Sus scrofa: one gene and its partner. The protein of the gene in region 1 purifies or fractionates together with the protein of each later gene. This does not show direct contact. Links are inferred from orthologs where the notes say so. Each region holds a gene or a part of one and is shown on either strand. Other genes may lie near its edges. The genes, in order: ASIC1 and PICK1.

Evidence for each region.
Region 2: the proteins of ASIC1 (region 1) and PICK1 purify together in Homo sapiens (affinity purification with western blotting; 3 studies listed by BioGRID and IntAct, with this or other methods). This does not show direct contact. The link is inferred for Sus scrofa from reciprocal best matches to the Homo sapiens genes ASIC1 and PICK1.

What each region holds. Positions count from the first base shown.
Region 1 is NC_010447.5:15,963,437-15,967,958, reverse strand, and holds the start of ASIC1 (acid-sensing ion channel 1), read right to left. Parts: upstream 2,842-4,522; 5' UTR 2,738-2,841; intron 1,859-2,737; 5' UTR 1,843-1,858; coding exon 1,481-1,842; intron 885-1,480; coding exon 689-884; intron 1-688. UniProt on the Homo sapiens protein: Forms voltage-independent, pH-gated trimeric sodium channels that act as postsynaptic excitatory receptors in the nervous system, playing a crucial role in regulating synaptic plasticity, learning, and memory.
Region 2 is NC_010447.5:9,812,626-9,816,424, forward strand, and holds part of PICK1 (PRKCA-binding protein), read right to left. Parts: intron 3,713-3,799; coding exon 3,623-3,712; intron 3,476-3,622; exon of another isoform or gene 2,842-3,475; intron 1,278-2,841; coding exon 1,224-1,277; intron 588-1,223; coding exon 525-587; intron 1-524. UniProt on the Homo sapiens protein: Probable adapter protein that bind to and organize the subcellular localization of a variety of membrane proteins containing some PDZ recognition sequence.

The DNA of each region.
Region 1 (4,522 bases):
CAGCCATGATTGTGTGTCCCAAATCATCTTTCCTTCCTCGGACCCCAACTCTGTGGGCTGGCAAGGGGTAGCCCAACGGGACTCTGTGTGTGTGTGTGTGTGTGTGTGTGTGTGTGTGTGTGTGTGTAATGGCTGAGGGAGAAGAGGATGGCCAGGGAGGTGTGGCATAGAGAGAATTACCTGTTAGGCTATTTAAGAGAAAGCTTCCCTTACTTCCCTGTCTCATGGTACTTCTCAGACTTTCATTCAACACACCCGGGGATCTAGTTAAAATGCAGACTCCGATTCAGTAGGTCTGGGAAGAGGGTGTCAAAGCCCTACATTTCTTTCAAGTTCCCAGGTGATGGTCCTTGGACCTCACTTTGAGCAACAAGGTGGCAGTGTACCCAGCACCACCCCCAGCTCGACACCTGTAGCCCAGAAGGTAAACTTGATGGGGTCGGGACCCTCCCAGGCACTGTGCACACGCACATCAGTGCGCCATGGGCTGTCTGTCCTGCCGTCACGGACACAAGGCTGAGGCTGTCACGAAGAGCAAATGCACTCCTGAGCAGAACAAACTCCTCTTCTGCCAGAAGGGAACCCTAGGGACATACAACTTCCTCCCTAGAGGCCTTCCCGGTCCCAGGCGCCTCCTCCTCCAGGACCTGCTGACTCCTGTCCCACACCAGCCAGGGGACTCACTCACCACCTTGAAGTCCTCGGCGCTGCAGACCTCCCCCCGGAAGTGGCAGGAGAGCAGCATGTCTCGAATGTCGTGCCCTGCGCGGTCATAGAACTCGCGCATGTTGAAGGGCTTGGGCTTGAAGCTGCGGAAGTTGGCCTTGTCCTGCAGTATCTCCAGCTGCTTTTCATCTGCCATCTGTGTGTCCGGTATCTCATACCTGGAGCCCAGGGGTGAGCAGCGCATGGATCAGCAGGACCTTCCGTTCCTGCTTCCATTTGGCCTCCAGTGTCCCACGCCCAACCTTGGGGGGAGGGCAGCATCCAGCCCTGGGCAGAGGCACAGAAGGAGAGCTGGGCGTGTCTAGAGGACCTGCCCCATGGGGTCTAAGAAGACAGAGGATCTGCAGTGGCTGCCCAGAGGCTGGGCATCTCAGCACATGGGTAAGGGGGGGGGGCAGAGATCAAGGCAAGAACTATGGCTTTTATACTATAGTTTAAAGATGGTTTGCTTCCATCCCCCGAGTGAGGAGAAAATTGAGACACAGTGGCAGAACGGTGGGCAAAAGTCACTCTAAAGGGGGGAACGATGTCTCACAACTCAGGCTGGATAGGGGCAGAGCTGTTTGGAACCGTACTGGGATCAGAGATTAGGTGCCCTTAATCGAGGGCTTGGCAGGACCCCAATTCCTTCGCTGTGAATGGCAGGTTTGAGTGGGGGGGCGCTGGAGGGCAGGGTTGTCTGAGCTGTATGATGGGTTAGAGAGGAAGCACCCCCTCGGGCGTCTGGGAGCAGGGGTGGGTGCTAGCCGCCCACCTGTTGTTGAGCAGAGCCAGCAGCTCCCCAGCGTGGTACAGGTCATTCTTGGAGACTTGGCTAAAGCGGAACTCGTTGAGGTTGCACAGCGTGACGGCAGGGAAGGTGAGCTGGGAGGCAGCCACCTCGTCGAGCTTGGTGACGTGGTGGTAGTGGAAGTAGTACTGCACACGCTCGGTGCACACGCACAGCAGCACGGCCAGCGAGCCCAGGAAGCACAGGGCCCAGAGAGCCCGCTTGAGAGACAGCCGCTCGTAGGAGAAGATGTGGGCCAGGCCGTGCAGCGTGGAGCTACTGGCGAAGGCCTGGATGCTCACCGGCTGGACGCCACCCACCTCCTCCTCCTCAGCCTTCAGTTCCATCCTGGCCGAGGGGATCCTGGGGGAAAGGGGGGTGGGGGAGTCTGTCACTGTCCTGGGGTAAGAGTACACATGGCGTCCCTCCAAATGTGTCCAGCCGGAATCCCCATCTCCAGAGGTCACTGCCTCTGGGGCAGGAGGCTTCTCGGGTGTGCAAGCCCCGAGGTGGCTGGCCAGGGGTCATACTCCCAGAAGAGGTTTTCTCCAAAGGCAGGGGCTTGGGGGTCAACTCAGGCCAAAAGAATGCTCTCCCGGGAAAGCCTCCGGGGCCAGGGGAGACCCCAGATGTAGTCATCCGAGGACGAGAGGGAAGTCCCAATGTTCCCACAGGCAGGCACAGGAGTTCCTTCCAGATGTGGGGTCACTCTGGGACAGGAATGTCCACCCCAGCCCGGAGACGCAAATTCCCCCAGATGGGCCGAATCCGGGGTCAGGAGTTCCTGGGCAAGGGTGTTCCCAGGATTGAGCTTTTGTCCCCGTGAGCTAAACCTGGGCCACAACCCCCACCCCACCCCCCGGGGGGGGGGAGGTGGGGAGGGGCCCAGGCTGAGTCCTCACCTGCTGGCGGCTCCAGTCCTCAGATCGGCGCAGGCTGTCTGTGTGCATGTTTGGGGTGGGGGGGTGGGGGGTAGAGGGCAGCCCGAGGTGGATGCCCAGGCATGGGGTGGGGGGGCGCGGTTCCCTATGACAGCGAGCTGTCCTCGCCCCGGACGCAACCCCCGCCCCCCCACGCCTTGAGTCTAGCTTCTCGACGCAGCCGGATCCCCTGCTCGGCCCCCGCCCCCCTCCCCAGCCGCTGAGACGCCCCGGCAGCCGGGGAAAGCGAGAGGGGAGGAAAGTCCTGGCTTCGGGGCGCTGGGGAGTCCCGCAGCCAAAAGCGGGGGGACCGGAGACCCACCTGAGGGGGCTTCGGGAACCCGGCAACCGGCGGCGGGTCCTGGGGCGCGGGGCCAGACGCGGGCTCAGCGCCGAGCCGCGGAGGGGCTCATGGCCCGGAGCGGGAGCCGGCGGCCGCCGCGGCACGCCGCGCAGAGCCCTGCAGGGAGCGGCCCGCCCGGCCCGGCTCGGCTCGGCTCCGTCCGCCCGCCGCGCGCGCTCGCTCGCTCGCCTCGGCTCGGTCCGCCTGGGCTCGGCGCGGTGCGCGGTGCGCGGAACGCGGTGCTCTCAGCCCTGGGATCTGCAGGGATCCATCGTCCGGCCGGGAGGCGGCGGGAGGGGAGGCGAAGGGGGAGGGGAGAGGGTGCGCGTGCGCGCCTACGAGTGTCTGCGAGGGTGTCTCTGGGCTCGTGTGCGCGCGGGGCCCCCGGAACGGGGAGCGGGACCGAGGGCTCCCCCCGCTGCCTCGTCCCCTCCTCCCAGCCGCTCTCGGAGCTGCTGCCTCCCTCCAGTCCCGGAGCAGTCTCCCTGTCCGCGAGGCCCTATGGCTTGTGTGTGTGACTGTGATGTGTGAGTGTGTGTATGTACGCGCGCGCACGCGCGCGCGCCGGGGAGGGAAGGTGTCTGCCCCCAGCGTCCCCCTCCCCGCGCTGTCTCCTTCGGATCGATGCTCCTTCCTCTTGCTGCTGCTTCCTCTGGTGGCACACACGCGTATGCGCGCGCGCGCACGCACACACACTCACACACACACAAGCAAGCTCCGACTCACACTTGACTGATTCAAGCACTTGCCCGTTTGGAGACACAGACATATATACAGACCAGAGTCACACCATGGCACTCACAGCCACACGCACCCTCCACAGACACCCACACACCTCAGAGGCCTGGCGCATAGGGCAGGAACTCAAGAGCTTAGAAATATTCACCTGTTCTCATTGTCCCTGCTCCCCACCTACATGTGACACATACACACATGTACATATGTAAACAAACACACAGGCTTGGCCACCCAAACCCTATCCTTGAGCCTTGGCCTTGCCTTGGGGTGGGGGCGGGGGGGGCATGTTTGCATCTCCTTACTACCAAACCTCTAAAGAAGGAGCAGAGAGAAGGAGAAATAGCCAGAGGTCAAGAGAATTTGGAGAGAAGTCAAGAAAGAGGGAAAGAGAAAGGAAGGGGCAGTGGGAGGACATAGGGTTGGGGGGTGAACAGGATGAGGAAGGGATGGAACCGGGAGCTGTACTCAGGGGTGGAGCAGAATTCTGAGGCACTGAGACCAGACCTGGGGGCAGGCGCGCGGGGGGGTGGGGGGTGCTTCTCCTCTAGCTCTCACCTCTCTCCTTTTCCCTCCCTCCTTCTCTCTGAGAGGCCTTGGGGGGCCCTCCCTACCCAATTAACAGAGAAGGAGCAATCAAAGCGAAGCTGTTAATTTGCTGATGCTCATTAGGGGCTCTCAACACGAAGACTGTTGAGGTCTGATGGTGTCAGGTGATGAGGAAGGGGGTGTGGGGGACCAAAATTCTATCTCTAGCCACTCCTTCACTCTACTTCCAGGCTGGTGCCACTCTGGGAGACGAAGGTGAGAGGTGTGTTCCCAGGGCTTTAAGTGAGAATGAAGAACCCGTAATGAAAAGGGGCTGGCACAGTGGAAAGAAGTTGGATGAGAAGTTGTGAGGGGTTGGGGGCGGGGGGCACACAGGAAGCCAGGGAAGGGAGCTGAAGATCCCTAGAGGGAGTGTAGGTTTAGGACTGCGGAGGAGGGAGAGTGGGATCCATTTACCAGGTGCCTGGGCAGGCGCTGCCA
Region 2 (3,799 bases), about 6.2 Mb from region 1:
GGCCTGTACCTCTAAGAGTTGAACCTGCAGCCCCAAGGAAGCTAAGTCTACACCCAAAGGAGCTGGCCCCACTCTCCAGGGACCAGACCACGGGAGGAGGCTGGGTCAAGGCTGGAGGAGGTGAGTCTGTCTGAGGACAGAGCACTGGTCGGGGAACCTGGTCCTGAGGCCAACGCTGCCCTAAGGAGCTGCGAGACCGCTTTTTCAGTTTTCCCGAGAGTAAAACTGTAACTGCAGCAGCCCTGCTGGCTAACTGACTTGGAGGAAACAAGACCGGGACTAGCAAGGCCTCGGACAGAGACAGGACCGGGCCCAGGGTGAGCAACTGTGCCCACCACTGCTACATCCCAGCACCTAGACGATGCCCAGCCCAAGCCCGGCCTGAGGTCACAGGCTGTGGTGTCAGGAGAAAGTTCCCAGCCAGGAGCTTGGCTGCCCCCTCATGTACAGGGGTGGGAGAAATGCTGAACCCAGACGGGGACAGGGGTTCCTCTGGGGTCACGGAGCAGGTGCGGGGCCCTTACCCCGGTGCGTCTGTGACAGCTCATAGAAGGCCCGTAGGAGGTTCTTGGTGTGTTCCGTCATCCCTGTGCGAGAGACCCAGCCAAGAGGGACAGGGACACATGGCGGGAACCGCAACGGCCCAGGACACAGCCTCCAAACCCCTCACTGTTCCTGATGTTCAGATTTTTCTATGTTTCTATTGTGCCATTATTTGATTTTAATGAACGCGTGTTACTTTTATAATCAGAAAAAGTATATCTTAAGATTTTTTTTCCTTAAGAGGGTTTTTGTTTTTTTTGTCTTTTGTCTTTTTAGGGCCACACCCGTGCCATATGGAGGTTCCCAAGCTAGGGGTCCAACTGGAGCTGCTGCTGCCAGCCTATGCCAGAGCCACAGCAACGCCAGATCCAAGCCGCATCTGTGACCTACACCACCACTCACGGCAACGCCAGATCCTTAACCCACTGAGCGAGGCCACGGATCGAACCCGCAACCTCACCGCTCCTAGTCAGACTTGTTTCTGCTGCGCCACGACGGGAACTCCCTCCTTAAGAGTTTTTAATAGCCATGGCCCTGGAATCGTCTAGGCTGGCATGCCCGCCCCACTGCCATCATCTTTAGAGCAGGGTTCTGGAGCTCCCCCCAACCCGGGGCAGAGCCAGTACCGGGCGCTTCCTGGACGGGGACACCCCACCCACGGCGGGGCTGCGCCTGCCCACCTTTATACAGCTCTGCCGTCCGTTCCAGCTCCTCGAGCCTCTTGACAAGCCCATCTGTAGGGGTCAGAGAGCCAGGGTGAGGGGAGAGCTCCGGGGTCACCTGCGCCAGGCTTGTGAGGGGCAAGGTGGTCCTGGTGGAGGACCAGGAATGGCACAGAACAGGGTCCCAGGGAGAGGATTGGGCGCCTCGGGGTCAGCCGGGCTCACTGGTGTTTTGCAGAGAGCCCAGCACATCCAGACACGTTGGGGTGGCAGGGCTGCCCTCAGGACGCCCGAGTGAAGCGCCACCCTGGCAGGCTGGGGCACACCAAAGGGGCAGGAAGGCAATGAGGGTGCAGGTACTTCCAAAAGTCATGGGTGGAAACCCGCTGGGCCTCCCCTAAGGCCAAACCCACGGCCGGCTCCCCACGGCCAGCAGAAGGCAGGCCTAGGCCTAGCCATCAAGGCCCCTGTGCTTCTAACTCCCTCCCTGCCAACACCAAGGAGCAAGGCAGAGATGAGCAAGAGACAGGATGCATCAACAATGACTCTAAGGCAGGCTCAAGGCAGCGCCCGTCACCACCCGCCAGCTCAGAAGGGAGAACAATCTGGGTAGGGAGGAATCCAGGAGGGGCCTGCACTGGAGCGGGCCTTGGGGATCTGCCTAACAGCGTTTAGCAAGCTCCCACTGGGTGCCAGCCCCCGTATGAGGCCCAGGAAGGGCTGTGCTGAATGAAGTCTCAGCTGTGCCTTCAAGGCTCACAGTCCAGCAGTGACAGTGGCCAGGCCAGGACCAGGACAATAAGGGCTGCAAGGTGAGGGGCGGGGGCAGCTGCCTCCCCTCAAGGGCTCCAAACAGGGGGCAGGCAGACTGCCAGGGAAGGGCCAGCGTTCCTGTCAGGATGGGGCGGGGCTCCCACCTGCAGTGAGCCCCGCCCTCCTCCATTCCCAGGGGGCTGAGGTCCACACCGCCCCCACCAGGAACACCGGCAGCAACTGCGCGGCAGGCCCATGTTGGTGCTTCCTGGCCTGGCACCTCCTAGGGCAGGGCCTGGCCTTACTGAGTGCCCTCACACAGCTCGGTCCTCCCTCCATACGAGCCTTTGGGGCAGAGACTACTTCCCTCAACTTAGAGAGAAAACCAGGGACAGAGAGGCAAAGCAACTTGTCCAAAGGCACACAGCAAGGGCTAACCAGGCCAGGGTGCCCTCTGCTCCCGCCCCCCGCCGGTCTCCTGTGCTGACCTGGGCCAGGGTTTTCTGTGGGGGGAGAGGGGGCAATAACAGGAGCCGGATCTGGGCAGAGGCGGCTCTGTGTGTCGGTCGGGCTGTCAGGGAGGAAGGCTGGGGCTAGGGGCTGGACGGGAGCCCCTTGGAGGTCTTCAGGAGGCTTCGGCCACCCGGCTGGCCTCCAGGCCCTGGCTCCCCAGAGCCTTGGCACCTGGCCAGCCTGGCAGGGAAGGAGCCACGTAAGCGCCGTGCTGTTGTTTTTAGCTGGGTCATGGGACATCATGACAGCTTCAATTTTAGAAACCCTATTTAAGGCTGGGGAAATTGCAAGGTTTGGGGGGAAAAAACACAACAACCAGTTCTAATTTCATCGCAACGCATGGTAACTACAGTAACAGGGATTTATAGACACTGAGGAGCTGGAAATAGCAGCCGCCACTTTTGTGCACCATTTGGAACAAGCTCAGACCCCACCCCCACGTCCCGGCCAATAAAGCCCAGTGTGCCCAGCTGAGCCTACAATTTATATAGGTATTTATATCTGTCCCCACACGTCCACAGCAGAGCTGCTGCTATTTATAAACCCAGGCTGGTGACGGCAGGAGCAGGACTGTTTCGCTGCCCCCGCCCCAGGGAGAGCGCGTGTGTGCACAGGCAGGCATGGGTGTGAATATGCGTGGACGCACTTTTCCCTCTGTCCCAGGCAGACAGCCACCTCCAGCCCTGGGCAGGGACTGCTGGGACAAGGGCAGCAGCGCCACCTCCTGGAGAGAGGCGGGGCCGAGTGGGCAGTGTGGAGGCAGCATGCTGGGGCACGGGTGAGGGCTGAGGCCTGGCTGTGGGCGAGCAGCTGGGGGCGGGGGTGAGAGCCCAGCTCAGGGAGCCGGAAGGAGGCCCAGCCCCACGGTGAGTCTGTCTCCTCATCTGTGACCTGTGGACCCTTGCTCGGGAGTGAGGGACACTGGCTGGAAGATGCCTCCTCTGACCTGACCGTGGTGGACGCTCTCTGGGAGCTGGAGAGGCCTCCAAGGATGCAAAGAGATGGTAAATGTCAGCCCCACAAGCAGAGGCCAGGCCCAGGCCGGCAGGACCCCGGTCGGCTTGCTGGGCAGCCATGGTGCCCCTCCCCCTCGGGCCTGGGTCTGAGTCCCCTCAGGGCCAGAGGTGGGTGGGAGGAAGCGGGGGACTCACCATTGCACAGGATGGCCCGGCTCAGGCCCAGGGCATCGGCGGTCCCCGAACTCATGTTCTCCACCAGCCGATGCTTCACCTTCTTCAACACTGGGACCGGGTGAGAAAGGACTCAGGGAGGTGCGGTCTGGGCCCCCAGGCCGTCCCCGCCCCACCGCAACTCCCTGGGAGCCACGC